Linked DNA regions of Drosophila melanogaster. Changing the gene in region 1 together with any one later gene gives a genetic interaction. Each region holds a gene or a part of one and is shown in the gene's direction. Other genes may lie near its edges.

Evidence for each region. Genes that interact genetically often act in the same process or in processes that back each other up.
Region 2: of Arf6 (region 1) and RhoGAP18B, changing one suppresses a phenotype caused by changing the other (phenotypic suppression), as found in Drosophila melanogaster (2 studies listed by BioGRID).
Region 3: of Arf6 (region 1) and amn, changing one enhances a phenotype caused by changing the other (phenotypic enhancement), as found in Drosophila melanogaster (one study listed by BioGRID).

What each region holds. Positions count from the first base shown.
Region 1 is NT_033778.4:15,320,742-15,326,008, forward strand, and holds Arf6 (ADP ribosylation factor 6), read left to right. Parts: upstream 1-1,759; 5' UTR 1,760-1,971; exon of another isoform or gene 1,972-2,000; intron 2,001-2,061; exon of another isoform or gene 2,062-2,289; intron 2,290-2,382; 5' UTR 2,383-2,400; intron 2,401-2,707; 5' UTR 2,708-2,742; coding exon 2,743-2,824; intron 2,825-3,103; coding exon 3,104-3,406; intron 3,407-3,460; coding exon 3,461-3,603; 3' UTR 3,604-4,749; downstream 4,750-5,267. Other genes in the region: CG8155 (uncharacterized protein), read right to left, coding at 1-1,147, 1,235-1,279; CG8157 (uncharacterized protein), read right to left, coding at 5,220-5,267. UniProt on the Drosophila melanogaster protein: GTP-binding protein involved in protein trafficking; may modulate vesicle budding and uncoating within the Golgi apparatus. Promotes cell movement and remodeling of the actin cytoskeleton during compound eye morphogenesis.
Region 2 is NC_004354.4:19,155,155-19,159,886, reverse strand, and holds the start of RhoGAP18B (Rho GTPase activating protein at 18B), read left to right. Parts: upstream 1-1,685; 5' UTR 1,686-1,767; intron 1,768-4,732.
Region 3 is NC_004354.4:19,885,561-19,891,986, reverse strand, and holds amn (amnesiac), read left to right. Parts: upstream 1-1,926; 5' UTR 1,927-4,494; coding exon 4,495-5,037; 3' UTR 5,038-5,879; downstream 5,880-6,426. UniProt on the Drosophila melanogaster protein: Required for associative learning and memory in adults. Expression pattern suggests a modulatory role in memory formation. Controls neurotransmitter-mediated signaling pathways associated with the structure of the larval peripheral nerve.

The sequences.
Region 1 (5,267 bases):
ACTCAGGATCATAAAAACTTAGCGCCTCCGTTAGGTGAGCAAATTTCTGAGTCATTGCAATCCCATCCAGCATGAAGTTTCCACGCATACGTGACATTATCGCACAAAAGCAGATGTAGGCCTGTGCCTCGTCGTTCATGGTAACCAGTAGCGGGGAAGCAATGTCCGACATGCCTTGACAATATGAGACCGATGGATGGTTTAGTGCATATGTGGTGAGGATATTGAAAAGCGCAGCGATGTTCTGATTGTCGTCGCTGCCTGCATAAAATGGATGCAGGCGGTCCGTGCGGAGAACATCCTTCTTTACCATGCTCGTTACGTAAGCCAGTTCTCCAGCCACACTGCCTCGCTTCACGGCCGCTTTCCATGTGTCTCTCAGACGACAGTACTGCTCAGACTTTCGTCGCATGAATTCCATACGCTGGTGTCCATCAAGTGCCAGTCCGTTAGCGCCACCGGGATAAACGTTAAGCAGATGTTTCCACACAACGCGCCGCAGACTGGGGTCAATGCCTCCTAGGAAGATGACCCTATGCAACTCGTCCTTGCGTTGAATCTGACCAAGTGCGTCCAGAAAGAGCCGGAACTCGCTGTCGCACATGGGCGGCCGTGGCGGTAGATTGGCCATATGCTCCTCGGATAAGTTAAACGCTTTCTGCACTATGGAGAAGGTTTTCTCCATCTGATTCAGAATGGAGCTGCCCAGTTTGGTCTGCATGTGCTGGACATATTTCTGGGAGACTCCTAAGGACTGCAGTGGTGACATAAGCTCGCGGGCGGGTACAAAAGGTGCAGGAGTTGCGGGAGCAGGCGCTCCCGTTATGGATCTACCCGGGGAGGCCTCGGTCTCACACTCCCTGACCACCGTAAATGGCTTCACATCGATCTGCAGGGTGAGGCAGGGTTCTGAGGCCGTCTGAATGGAAATGTTGTGAATCCTCAGAAAGGCGGCATCCAGATCCCAGTCGGAGCGCACGGCCAGGTAGATCTCGTTGCCCGCCGGATCAAAGGCCTTGTACTTAATGGAGAAGTCCGACTTGACATCGAAGGCCTTGGCCAGCAGGGAGTACAACACCTCCAGCGTGGTGATCTGCGGGTCCACTGAAAACTTTCGCCACTCCGGCCGAGCAGTGGGTTCGCATTTCTGTGGGCGATTTCAAAAAAATTAGATTGAGGAACACAAACTAAGCAGCCCTTTTGTTGTCTCGCCTTCTGGCCACCTTTCACTTGCCTTCACTTTCACCCGAACCGCCTCCCGGGGGCAAATGCCAGCCATGTTTTCCGAGTCTGTTCTGGTCGACGACTAACTAAGTTCCATTGTACCTCTGAGCGATGTCAGTATCGTAAGTATTGCTCAAATATAAAACAATACAAAAGAAGGAAACTGAAATCAATCGACTTGATTTCAATCATCGGTTTCAGTGTGGCCGCCCTAGGGCTTTGTAAGTTCACCAGGGCTACATTAAAATACCAAATCACTAAATACACAAAACAAAAATTTTTAAAATTAAAAAAAATTAACAAATTGTTGAACGTACGAGGAGAATATATCAGCTACATTGTTTGCTAAATTAATATGAATAATAAATGAATATAAGAAAATAAATCTTTTTCAATTTTGAATTGCAAAAGTAATAACTTATTGGCCAAAAAATCACGATATCCCCGCCAGTCACCGTTTTTCATCTGATAAATTCAGTATTTTTGGTATTTATCCTCCGCATTCTTTGCATTTTTTAGCGTATTTTCTGGAATTCCCGAAGATCTTGTTCCGCTCTGCGCTAACGGGCACATTGCTTCGTGTATGTGTATATAAATACAAGAAGATTAGTGCAAAATTGTTGTTGTTAGTTATAGTTTTTTGGCCGCCGTGTGCTAGCAAATGCATTTTATGCCCCGGCCCGCGCACTTTGGCACTACATGTTAACGGATTTCAGGCTGGCGTGGAACGAATTGGGCTGGAAAGCGGTGCGTAACGGCGGTCGTCGGAGACTTGGGTGTGTATACATGTGTATGTGTGTTACGGGCGTGTTTGTGACGTAGGCAAGCAGCAGCGAGAGAGCGAGCGAAATTCCGTAGAATCCGAAAACCATCCGATATCGTTGCTCCCAAGCCGGCTTTACTGGGTCGTCGAGGGGTGCGGTGGCTGTTCAGGGGGCGGGGGTGGAGCGGTCGGATCCACCCGCCCATTCAGTGGAGCCAGCGATAAGCCCGCAATTGAGATAACTCTGCCTCAATTTGCGAGACACTATAGTGTGTTTATCTGTCCAATTGTACTTCCTATGTGTAAGCATGTGTGCGTGTGTTTGTGTGTGCGACTGTGTGCTGCAAGCTCTTCACTGATAAATTCTGCCTCTCCACTTTTTTCTCGCTTTTTAGCAACGAGCTGATGACAATGTAAGTGAAATTATTATGCAAAATAATGGTCTTAGCTTCCGCCGTCGTACAAGCTCTATATGGCCACCAAATTGCCTGTGCCCGCCGTATGTGTACATATGTAGCTACATTTGTATGTTCATATATCACTTACGCGCCTTCGCGCGACGGCGTTCTTATATCATAAATTGATATGTTAACTGCAAACTGTATTACAATGGCCCTATTATCTGGAAATTCACTGACCCTGCCCTGAATCTCGCCCAGCTATTCTTATCGATATGCTTATTTGGAAGACCTCGCCAACTCTACTCGAACTGTTTTTCAGATTGGCTAAGGTTTAATGGATGACACATCAGCACCATGGGAAAGTTACTATCAAAAATTTTCGGCAACAAGGAAATGCGAATTCTCATGCTCGGACTGGACGCGGCTGGAAAAACAAGTAAGCACATAAACAATAAAGGGTTCTCGAATTCGATTGTGGGCCTGATTAGTACCCATTAGTTTCATCAGTTTCCTAAGTGGAAACCAATCCCATTTAAAAAATACTCTTGAGGCGAGGCAATTATTGTTTTGTTTTTATTCTTATTGTACTTTGAAAAAATGTACAATATAAAGACCTTTCAATACGTACACCAGTACTATCACTAATCGAATTCGAGCTATTTTGTTTATACATCCTTTGCGTGTCTAAAGTAATATTGTTTTTGTCCACCCACAGCGATTCTGTACAAACTGAAACTTGGCCAATCTGTTACAACGATACCCACTGTGGGCTTTAATGTGGAAACCGTCACCTATAAGAATGTCAAGTTCAATGTGTGGGACGTCGGTGGGCAGGATAAGATTCGACCGCTATGGCGACACTATTACACGGGTACACAGGGTCTGATCTTCGTCGTGGATTGTGCGGATCGGGATCGGATAGACGAGGCGCGCACGGAGCTGCATAGGATAATTAACGATAGGGAGATGCGCGACGCCATCATACTGATATTTGCTAACAAGCAGGATCTGCCTGATGGTTAGTATAGTGCTCAGCCAATTGTTTCCATCCGCTTATTGTTCTCTCTTGCAGCAATGAAACCCCATGAAATCCAGGAAAAACTAGGTTTAACTAGAATAAGAGATCGCAATTGGTATGTACAACCATCATGTGCCACATCCGGCGATGGCCTGTCCGAGGGCCTCATTTGGTTAACGTCGAACCATAAGTTATGAGAATCGTAATCGAGCATTTTCTTATATGTATGTATATGGCATGTATTATTCGAAGCGAAGCAAAAGCGAAAATATTCTATTTTATTTATACAAAGAAAACCAACCGCAAGCGCATAGTAAAAACTCAATTCGTAAAAACGAACGTACATAAATTACAAATGTTAAAAATGGTATATAGAAGTCAGATATATATAGTAATTATATATACTCTCAATTAACCAACCAATATTCTCACTAGTAAAAATACACATACCTACAAAATAAAAGAAGCATCAAAATAAGCAGCCGGTAAATATCCGTAAAGTAAATTATGCGTGAAGCACAGAGACATAAAGCAAAACATCAACGGAGATTAGCCTTAAGTAAGTTTTTCTTGTAAATTATATTGATGAGACACGTAAGCAATAAGTTGAAAGCTTGTTTATTGCAACTGTTACTATATTTGACTTGAGCAAGGGTGTAACGAGTCTTAAATAAATTGTAAATAAATATTCAAATTAAAGCCCATATACAACAACAAACGAAATAAAAGAAAACACCGAACAAACAATTGAACAAACCTATAGATTGCTATTTAGATTAAAACTGAGTCTTCAAAATATAATGAAATAGTAACTGTGCCTTCCTCAATGTGTGTCTATGATCCCTCATTATTTTCCCCACTCCAACAGCTAATTTTCTCAATCTGATATCCTTCGAGACGAAGAAGGTCCCTGGATTTGCGAGAAAGGCATATTCTGACTTCAGTGTCAAACGCATTTGGTTTGTATTGTGCGCTCAATTTGAAAGGTAAACATGCCACATTCAGTGCCATAATTTGCAGGGTAAATGAGCCTGGGTATACCTGAGCATGATTTGTTCAACACGGCGTTCAATAATTTACCTTTGTTTTGCAATCATCCCCGAATTGTCCGAAAAACTCCTTGGTACATCCTTGCATGAATAATATAATTTATTTTTTGTGGGTGTATGTCTTGTTTTATACCTTTACCGTTTTTATCAAAACCAACCTATTCATAATACCCCGTAATATCTCAGTATCTAAGATTTTTGTTGCTGAATTATAATTATAAATTTTAAGTTATGAAACAAATCATAGGTTTCAAAGTTATTTTCTGTAAATATGTTTTTGTATTATTATTGTATTATAATAATAAAAATATATAATAATTAGTAGAGTCACGTTTTACAGATGAAAAGGTTGTGATGAAGATGACGAGTTCCCAAATAAACGTCATCTAGCGATCCACGAAGTGACGAAGCGCTTATTGCCAAGATAATCTTGTTAATATTCTCACATGAAGTGACACATCCTATGAAATTTGTATGTAGAATTAAACGATTCCGACTTAATAAAGTGTATATATTGTTAATATATATATTATTAGTCAGGATCAATAGCCGAGTCAATCTTTTCTGTGTGCAGAATCCCAGAGTGTAGTATTTCCTTGGTTTTGCGTCTCCTCAAGATGCGTGTTTGTTCTTTCCTTCGTTTGCGAGTTATCTCCAGGATCCGTGGTCTCCTTAATATTTGGTTCACGAAAACAGCAGGTATATGTTGGAAAAAACTATTTATTTTTTGTTTACGATTTTAAGACGATTAAGAAATTGGGGTATTAGAAGCGCCCATGATGTCCTCCATGGTGTCTGTGGTGTTCGCCAAA
Region 2 (4,732 bases), on another chromosome or scaffold:
TTTGTATTCGTATCTGGTGGATACATTTGATGCCGTCGGCAGCGAAGCCAACAACAACAATTGTGTTCATTGTGCTTAATTAATTTAGTTCAAAGATCAAGCGACCATATTGCTGAACATCGGCTGCAATGCGATTCTTCGCCGGCCTCTGCTCATTTTCATTTTTATTTTCATTTTCATTTTTATTTTTATTTTCATTCTCAGTCTCACTCTCATTCGCCTATTTTTTAAGTCTCTTCCCCGGAATTGTTGTTTTTTCCCCAAAGATGCATCCTCATCTTTTCTTTCTCTATTTGCTCCCGGTTCTGTTTTATATGGATTCCGATTTTTGTAAATATCGGTCGTGTACTATATGGATCTTCAAAACATGATTGCGAGCAGTATTATGAGGAACAGGATTATGAGGATTGGTTTCAAAATTCAATAAGAAATAAGAGAGCTTACGGTTCGTGCTGAAAGTGCAGTTCTCATTTTCATATCGGAATTGCTTGCAATAAAGTGTTGAGCAAAAGTATGTATGTACATATGTATATGCATATCGTAATCGGTTTACGCAACTGTTGTGCATAAATTGAACAGTGTTTAGCATTCATCATGGTTACTTACACAGCTCGATCCACCCGCCCAGCACCGCCCCCTCTGCGGTCCCAGAACCGACCCCAGCCCCCCCCTTTTTTTGCACCCCCTACTCCCAACTCAGCCGAACTGAAAAACAAACTCCCAACCCTCGACAGCACCCCCCCCCCCTTTACCACCCTCCTTCAGGGACCGCACTCGATATGCTTAATTAGGCAACGGGCGTTGAGTATAAAAAGCGTCTTTTGTCGCTGCCACGCCCCACCCTTACCCTCTCACCCCCTCATTAGCCCATGCCACCCCCAACCCTTACACACACACGCACATTCGTGAATGTGGTGGCGCACAGCCAGACAGAGCCACACATGTTGCCCATGTTCCATTACACACATGTGGTTCGGTTTCAGTTCAGTTTTAGGTTTGTTCTGCTCTGCGCTGTTCTGTTCTGTTCTGGGCTTTTGCCTCCCCATCACTGATCTCTGGCCCACACTGGTCAGCATGACATGGGTACGAAGGATAGTTTCAAGCTCGGTTGACATGAGTCATAGTTTCACCGATGATGAATCACAGCTCATAATGGTCCATAGTCATGGTCATAATAATGATCCATAGACTTTGCCTATAAAAGTAAATAACTGTAAGAAATGTATTAGACAAGGCAAGAATTTCTATTGAATCTTATATTAATTTAAAAAGTTTTATTCTAAAGAAACTTATTGATGATATAATTTTGTAAGGCTGGCATATATAGTTAGCATTTATAGTTTTTAAAAATACTGATATATCCTGTAATATATGTATTATATTTCATTTGAATATCTGAAATATTTGAAATTACCCGCTTATAATTCCCAACTTGCTTTTTCATCGGAAGCAACAAAATTTTGTTGCGGGCTTTGGGGGTTAGTGCCCACTTTTGCTGACTAGTGTGGAGTGCTCGAGTTCCCTGGGTGACCGGAGGTCGGCATCGCCATAGCCATAGCCACCGCCACCGACTCGTGGCGTCGACTGCGACTGCGACTGCGACTGCGCGGCGACTGCGACGTCAATCGCTTACGAGGCGGACCGCCACCCAAGAAAATTCTCGGCGGCATCTTGAGTTCAATTTCAGTTGATATTCTGTTAAATTCGCGAACGCGTCGCGCCTGCAGCTCCCGATTTGATGGAGAGCCCCACCTCAAGCCCAATTTCGTAATGCTCCCATTTAAAGCTCGGCTTATCAGTGCTGGCCAAAATCGGTGCTTTTTGTTTTGGTGCTCGGGTTTCGGTATTGAAGCCCACCAAGTGCCTCGATCGATCTACAATAGTTTTAATAATAAAACAGTGCATTTGGGGAAATTGGAGAGAAAGTGAGATAAGCGCTGCGAGATAACGGGACCAATCCCGTTTTATTTGTTCCTTCCTTTCGCCCATAATATGGGTGTGTGTGCTCATGTGTTTCTTGTGAATTACAGTATATTGCTTTTACAATGGCATTCATCGTCATTTATTCATTTGTCGCGCCATCTGAAAATGAACGGCGATGAATCATCGGCATAGGCAAATCAGCGGATTACCCACAATCCACACTGATTGCATTGCTGTCTCCTTGGGGGCTGCACAATTTGGACAGGTTTTATTGACGGGGTCAAGAAGGTCTCGATCGAATGCCCAAAAGTATGCAAGTTTATCACCAAGGCGCCCGAAAAACCAAAGTTTTGCGGTTTTGTTTTTTTTGTATTTGAGGAATCAAACTATAAACTGTGTATTTTGCCAGTGTTTGAAGTTAAACTTAGTTAATTGGGTTCAACAAAATATATATCATAATCATATTAAAAAATATAATATTCAATTGGTTGTGCTACAGCTATTTTTATAGCTATTTATAACGAAACGGATTTTCTGAATGAAAATTTTTAAAAAAGTATATGAATTCGGTATCAATATATTTTTTCTATGCTATTGCTGCATTTTGGTGATTCGTATCAGTACATAAAAACATTTTATTAATGAAATTTTAACACTTTAAAGTGAATCGCAAGCATTTCTTAAGTCATGAAGGATTTGAAATATATACTTTCAAAATTTCCAAAATGAACAACAAGCCCAGTGATGTCAGGCTTCTAAATAGTTTATTCACTTATTTATTAATAACTATGCTTCAGAACCTTCAGACCCTAGGGATTCAATTTAAGAATTGTTTATTTTGTAGAAAGCTAATTAGTTCAGAGAAATGCTCCTAATGAGACCACAACAATTATATTAGTGAAAACACAGTCAATCAGTTATGAAGAATTCCACAAGCCTTTTGTTTGCTATTAAAATTCAAATAGTTTGGAACAATTAAGTGTATGGCTCTTTGTTAAATTATTTCTCGGATTGTTAATATATCACGCAAGTAATTAATCAAGATTTTCTATTTAAATAAATTCGGTTTCTGTATAATTTGTGTGTTTTTTATCAGAGAAATGAATATCTTATAGAATGTTCTGTAAAATTATCTTTTAAAGGACAACCCAAACATGATTATAAAGAATTGAAAATTAATAATACAGGTTATTGTCCAAGCAAACAAGACAACCATTGACCATTGACCCTGATTCTAGACCAAAGTATGATTAACAACACCGTGAAAACGCTTTTACCTACCAACCAACCAACATTTGTGGTACCTAACGATCCAAATCTGTTGTATTTTGAAATATGGTGGTAGGCTACTCTCGACTGGATTTGAATCAGTTTTATTTAAATGACGCTGTAACAACAATTGGTGGTGTTGGAGAATGCGAAACATGTTTTAAGCACCTAAAACCCCTAACCGGTTTCCCCTTTCCGCCCCAAGCCGATTATGATTAATGGCGGCGATCCTAGATCAAAGAATTACGAATAATACGAAGCCCCCGAAGAAGATTTCAAGATCTACCATCGAGATAAACATGATTTCCCCACTTACGCCGATCGAAAGATTAATGCACGGACCCTCGTTTCTTGGCACCTTAACTCCATTAGGCTCACTCTCGCCTTCCGTTCGGGATAACTGTGCACTTGAAAAAAAAAGATAGAATATACATATATTAATATATGTAAAATGAAATTTTGCATATTTCCGTTTTGGTTTTTCAGTAAGAAGGAATTGTAGAATTCTTGTAATATTTTAAATTCCCAAAATCAGTGGCTACTATTTTTTGCCAGTGTGAACTGAGCACATTCCATATTCCACACACCATGTTCCACATTCCATCTACCTGGCGGCACCTGTGAGGCGTAGGTGAGGAAGTCGACGATCGTTACACAATTCTCGACTGGCCGCCAACCTGTTTCTGTTTCTCCGGGGTTTTCTCTGGGGTTTCTCGCCCCTCTCCGCTCTCTTCACCCAGTCATGGCCATCATTTTGAGTCCGAGGGATAAGGACGGGGGTTACGAGAGGACCGACATGGTTTGGTGGATCGGTTAGTGACTCATCTCCGTATATCAACGAAAAACAAAGCTCAAAAGCAGAAGCAGCACTGTGGAATTCTAGTCAGATGAAATGCATTGGGGTTTTTTTTACTTTAAACATTATTTGCATTTAAGCATCAAATGTTTTAGGGCAAACAAACAATTCATTTTAGAGCTCTAAACTGATTAGTGATAAGTGCTCTGGATCTTTTTGGGCGTGAAATATACAGAGATATTGGGTCTAGTTACACATATATTGAATACAGCAATGGGTTCCAATAATATTTTATCAAAATAGCTAATATATGTAAATATTAGAAGAAATGGTAAAGAAATTCACGATAACAGGGTCATATTATTAAAAGCTGTTTGCAATTAGATTCGAAAAATTCATCCTTTAAATTCCCAGATTTAAAAAAAGTCAAGCCAAAGAATTGTGTTTTGAAGGCAAAGCCGATGGTTTGGAGGAAAACTGAGTGCAGAGTGCAGCGACTTTGGCTGAGATAATGAATATCGCTGATTGCAGTCGGAAGCGGGAGGGAAAGAGACAGAAAGAAAGAAAATGAGGGTAGTGGCATCACTTAAAGAGTTCAAGCCCATTGACTTTTCTCAGTGATTACACTGCGAGAACTAAGGTCGTTTTTGGGGTGTTTCTCAAAAAATAATAGTGAGTAATCGAAGATTACAAGTTATTCAATTCACTCGAGTGAGAAATTTAAGAAGAGCCATTCGAGCATTT
Region 3 (6,426 bases), on another chromosome or scaffold:
ACCAGAAGACCAGAAGACGAGGGAGAAGAATGCGAAGACTAATCGCAAAAATGATCGAAAGAAATTTCCATAGAATAAATTAATCAAAGTGATCCGCAATGCAAAAAAAAAAAATATTTATATATATATAAAACAAACGGAACTTATTTATTCACTCGCTCAAAGCCCATAAAGTCAAAGCCCATGGAGCGATTGCTGCGATAGTATTTCTGAATGCTTACTAACCTAAAAACTCGTTTTGATCTCCTAGCCGCATAGTCAGTTATTTGTTTAAAACATTCTAGGCAAAGCAAATGGATCGAGTTTGAGCAGTTTCTTCAGAAAGAACGCTTTTATGGGCCCGCTAATCATCACATTTCATCTATGATCGTTCGATCGATTGTAAAAGAACACAACGTAAAGTTCACATCTTAAGTGAAATTCCGAGTATATCAACAGATAACTTATTACAATAATTCAAGTGAAATAGATAAGGGATATGACCGTGTATCTAATCTAATCCGCACATTTAAAACCAAACTTCCTGTCACATATTAAAACAAGATGGTACGAAGTCTTTTTTTTTTTTTTTTTTGAAAACAAATTTATCCGACGTAAGAAAATAATGGTCAATGGTTCAAGCGTTGGATTTGTAAGATCCGCATGGCTAGTTATGATAGTATTTTTATACTTTTGGTGATTTTTGATTGCAAAAGCAATGCTTTCTTCTGGTATCCCGCTGAATCCCAATAGTAAGATTCGAATAGATAATACTGCCGTATTTGTATCTTTGCCGTGTTTTATAGCTATATAGAGTTGACGCGTGCTAACTGCCCCTATATGGTGGTCCCAGTTCCCCAAACCCCTCGATTATCCAATGGCCGACATTCAATTGCGCAGCGCGGCGGCAGAGAACTACAGTTAATTGCATTTACAATATTGCCACAGTTAGGTCGATTCTTTATGGTTTGTATAGATTGTATGGGTTTTAGGAGAATGCGAATCTTTTGTGGGACGGAGAGGGGCGGTGCAGCAAGCATGTTCGTTTAACGATCTCCCCAGCTCATGTTTATTTATGAGTTGCCAATCGAATCAATTTCATTCGACTCGACTTGACTCGGACTTGACTTGAATCGCTTTCAACTGTTGTTGTGCAGCTGCAAAATGCAAATTTTGGACAAAATCCATGGTACGTACACATATATACATATGGATATATGAACGTCTGTATGTTGTGCACCTGTGTTCAAGTTAAACGTAGTGCCGTCCTCTCCTTTTAATTATTAAGTAATATACATAAGTGTATAGATCATATCGTCTAATATGCAGAAAAGTCCAATCGAACGGATGAAAGGAACCTATCAGCTTTAACATCCTTTCTATGTACGTATGTACATATGTATGTACACATACCTCAATTATATCCTGTACTGCATATGCACCAACAATTGTGAAGCATTGAAGCATACATAATACATACATATATTTCATATATATTACAAAGCTGTTGCTACTGATCAGAAACTCGTCTATTATAATGCCACAAACACACCCCTTTACCTGTTGCACGCGTTTTCCCAAAGACAATATACCCCTTTTCTGAGCGACTAATTGAAATAGTCCAGTACGAACCCTTATTTTGACAACAGCTGCACGAGTGGCTGCATACGATATATATATATGTATGTATGTATGTGTGTACATATATGTACATGTACTGATATGTGGTATGGATTGGGTTCCCATAGATGGCATGGCTTGGCATGGCATGCAGGTCTAGGGCAGTGCCAAAACCGACGACGAAAGCAACTATCAAATGCCGTTCAAGGCCGTTTGAAATTGCGTGGCAGGCAGAACAAGTTCCACACATCGGTGTGTGTGTGTGTGTGTGTGTGTGTATTGTTATTAACCAGCTGATGTGCGTCCGCGTGTGTGTGGAAGTCTTCGGAAGGGGTGCGCACATCCTAAGTGCGCAAAAGCCATGATTGCAAGCTTTTCGGACTCGGAAAAACAATACAATACCAACGGCAGATTTGGTCATTCAGGCAGGCAAATTGTCAAATAACTAACGGTTACTTTAGTGCTCATTAATGTTTTTATGTGCTTTAATAGATACGCTACTATTTTAGTTATTTCCCCAATGCAATACGTTAAGATACTCATCTACTAAGAGACGAATTTTTATTTACCCATTAATAATAACGGATGATTCGGAAATCGCATACGAAAACGCCTTAGTTGTATATTTACTCCTTTTTCTACCCTTACTACCGTATACGTAATAACAATAATGAGCCAGAGACGATTGGTGGCTAAGTATGTACACTGGCGAAAATACCTTTCAGCAAGCATAACCATAGCTTCCTTTTTACAGGATCCAGATAAAACGCGCAGATAAAAATGTTAGGCAGTGACATCTGTTGCAGATGAAAAGGATTAAGAACTACAGATTCAAAAGGCTGCTCCTTTTCTTTCAGTGTGAGAGAGGGAGAGAGAGAGAGAGGGTTTAGGTGGAGGCAAGTCGGCAGGGGAGCAGGAAGCATGAAATTGAGAGAAAATAAGGATAAACAAGCCGAAGGATATGGGACGGCACTGTTGCTTCGCAAGTGTGTGTGTGCACGTCCTGACCGCGTGCACACACACGCCGTGTGGCCGTGTATAAGTGTGCGAGCGAGAGGGGGCGATCGATGGTGTGAGTGACTGGCAATAGCCGCCGCGTCTTATTGACATTAAAACCGCTGCTGCTGCCGCCGCCGCCGTCGCCAGTCGACTTCACATATACCCGCTCTCTCGAGTCCCTCCCCATACCATTCCATACCATCCCATCCCTACCATTCATCCTGGCTCGTTCTTCTTCCTCTTTTATTTTTAAATAACACCCGGCGCAGATGCTAAACAAGACGCCAGAAATTAAAGTGCAAAGGTGTGTGCTGCAGCAACAACAGCAACAACAGCAACAACAACAGCGTCCTCGACAGAAGGACGATACTTTGGCGTTGTACTTAGCGTCAACCGAAGAATACGAAGACAAGGACCGCGAACAATGTGGGATCAAGGATCTAAGCAGATATATATGTATGTATGCACATATACCAAATGTTCCGAGCGTCCACATGGTGCGGATTTAATCACGCACACACATTGGCATTCATGAAAGGATATCGGATATGTATAGAGTATCAAACGGAACCGCTGCGCAAGATGGAAAACAGATTTGATCGCTAATCAAGTAAATAGATGATACATATCATTGTCAAACTTGAAATTAAATGAATCAAAAGTACTGAACATCCTGAATCAAGCAAATGACATATGGCATCCTATGTGAAAAAATAATATAAAGGATCTCTTAGTGATCTCATTCAAGATTAGCCAACTATCTCCTCGTGATATTATAAAATATTTACGACTCACTCATATCTACTGATTCATGCACTCCTTTGCTAAGAGAGTTATTTATAGGAACTGTGATCTAAGAAGGAAAACTGGTGGAAACAATATGGGCTTTTTCGGAATCTATTTTAGGTCACTTGTTAATATTGTTCCATTGCATATTTAATCCATATGAATTTGGTCTGTGGTTTCTGATTATCAATTTTCAAAGCCCTAATTGCAGTTGAAAAACCGCAGTGGAAAAACACATTTCAATTCGATTTGAAATGAAGTTCATGGAATAACCGAAACGTAGTTTAAATTTTAATTAAAATTTTAATACAGTTTGTCAAGTATTTTCGTTCCAAATCAAATTTGTTTAGGTTTACAAGCGTAATTTTTATTGTTTACCAACGTGATAGATGTACAATAAAAATATATAAACGATCTAGACCCAAGCAATTGCATTAAAAACTTGACAAGCTGTATGTACATCTACATTATTTTCGAGTAAAATAACAACAAGATAAAGCTGGCTTGTTCTCAACAACTATCAGGCTAAAAAAAAAAAATGAAAATAAAAACAAACAGAATCGCAAAAAATTGCCGAATGGAAATTTTGTGGCACGCAAACTTGTTGCTCCATCTGCGTGTGAGTGAGATGTGTATGCTAGTGTGTATGTGAGCCAGTCTATGAGCGCGCGAGTTTGTGTGTGTTTGTGTGCGAGGAGAAGCTTACTTTGCGATGTTTAAATAATAAATGATTTATTTATTTTTCGGTTTGTTTTTGTTTTGATTTCCACCTGGGCTGATGCATTTTGGTGCCCACTTTTACGAGAAAACGCCGAACTAATCGTTTTCGTTATATGTATTTATTATTATTTTTTTGTTGCTTTTTGCATGTCACCAACAGAAACAGAAAAAAAAAACGAAACGAAACACACTGAAAAACGCGCGCGTACACTTGTATATATGTGAATGTGCGCTGGTATTGGCGCGCGTGTGAGTGTGAGCGAATTTGCAAGAGACGGGGCGTATGAGCAATGCCGTGGCGAAAACTTTGCCACTTTTGTTGTCTGCGACGAAAGCAAAAACAGCGAGACACCGTAAAAAAAAAAACAAGTAATATAAACACAGCTTTACATGCGCAGTTTTTGTTGTTGTTTTTATCCGGCTGCTGTGGCGTTGCACTGCGTATTACTGTTTTACACTTTTTTTTTACTTTTTAGAGCGTCCGCGTTGCGGCGACGCGTTGTAAGCGGTTCGAAAGGTAGCGCAGCACTGGCGCTCTGCCGCCAATTCGAACAGCTGAGCGCCAGCCGAAGAGAGAGAGCCGAAGAGTGCCGAACGACGCAGCTCCGCTACCACTACCACCGCAATGGCGCTCAGTCGCGGTCGCTGTGCGCTGCTGTGCTCTGCTGTAAGCGCTCTTACATTCCGCGCCCGAATTTTTCGTGCTTTTCCCTTGTTTTCCCTGTGGGCCAGCGTTTCGCTGCTGCTCGGACTCGGTTTGGGCCAACACTTGTCGCCTCTTGGCCATTATGCAACGACAGCGAAACGAAGGTGCTCACGAAGTGGCCAAGCTGCTCTCTGATTGGTCGGCGGTCAGTGCCACGAGGCCAGCCGAAGTTCTCTCGCGAGAACCCAAGAGCACTCTCTCCCTCTCTTTTGGGAGAGATGAGATAGCAAAGAAAAGCCAAAACACTAGAACAATCCAGAAGCCAAGTTTTCCGGCTTGCACATACGCCGTATAATCCGCATTTTTTGCGAACTCTAAACTCGAGTCTATCAGCTATAATATTACAATTCGTTCACTATAAACAAATAAACTAATATAATTTTGCTCAGAAATCGATGCACTATGATGAGAGAATAGTGAAAAACAATTCTCAGTTAATAGCTTTTAAACTGCTCTGCAAATGGGAAAACAAATTAAAATATACACATTTTCATGCCAAATAATAGGATATCCTATCCTTCATTATATAAGCATAAACAATGAAAATATTCTAGCTCGCTTTGATCTTTTAATGTGTGTATAATGTATTAGTACGTGTACTTTAGTCAAAGAACTATGCACAAATACCGGTTGAACTTTTTTTGGGTATGGAAAAGCAACCGCATGTGAGCGAAAAGAATGTTTGGGGATTGAAGGCGTGATATTGGGCGGAGTGGCCAAAACATTGGCAAGGGAGCCATCAGCATCAGCATCCACATCCACATTCACATCCACATCATCGCCAGCGTCGAGAGCTCTTTCGATCGAAATAAATTCGAATCGAGTGCGATTCGTCAACAAGGCGAAGATAAAGATTTCAGAGCAATAGAACAGAAAATCAATGTTATTCAATCAAAAGCCAATGCAAAATTGCTTTGCACTCTGGCACACTGCTATGTAAATATGTTAGAGATTCAACTTTTACAAATTCTATTTTCCAAGTCCAAGTAAATATTTTAAAGAACTATCGTGCTTAAGGCATTATTATGATTAAAAATAAACTGATTGCAGCTGATAAGAATCGTGAATTCAGCTCATTATAGTCTCAACGTACTTTGTGAGCACTTTGTATTGCCTCGCTTCGGTTGATTTATTTATTTCTTTTTGGGTTTGGTTTGGTTTTGTTTTGGTTTGCTTTCTATTTTCTATAGTTGATAAGGATAAAATTGGTTCATACTCGAATTATTGTTTTACCTCAGAACATAAAATAGTTGCAAATAATACAAGGCAGAGAGATTGATGTTTTAAGCAGTAAATAAAGGAATGGTATATTCATATAAGGATTATATATACATTCAAAATCCAATAATATCAAATATTTCGGATATCTCAACAATCTTGCCAAAAGTCGGAAATCTCGCCAATAACGTTATTTTTTGCTTATAAAGAAATCTGTTTGCCGTTGTTTTTGCACAAACACTCAAACACACAAGCCCAGCTGATAAGATAGTCGAGAGTCCATAGAAATGCCAAACCGAGAACTATACGAAAGTAAGAAAGTAAGAAAGTGCGGGCAGAAGGAAGTGGGTGCGGATGGGATCGAATTTAGCGCGTGCCCAAATGTCCCGTTAATGAAT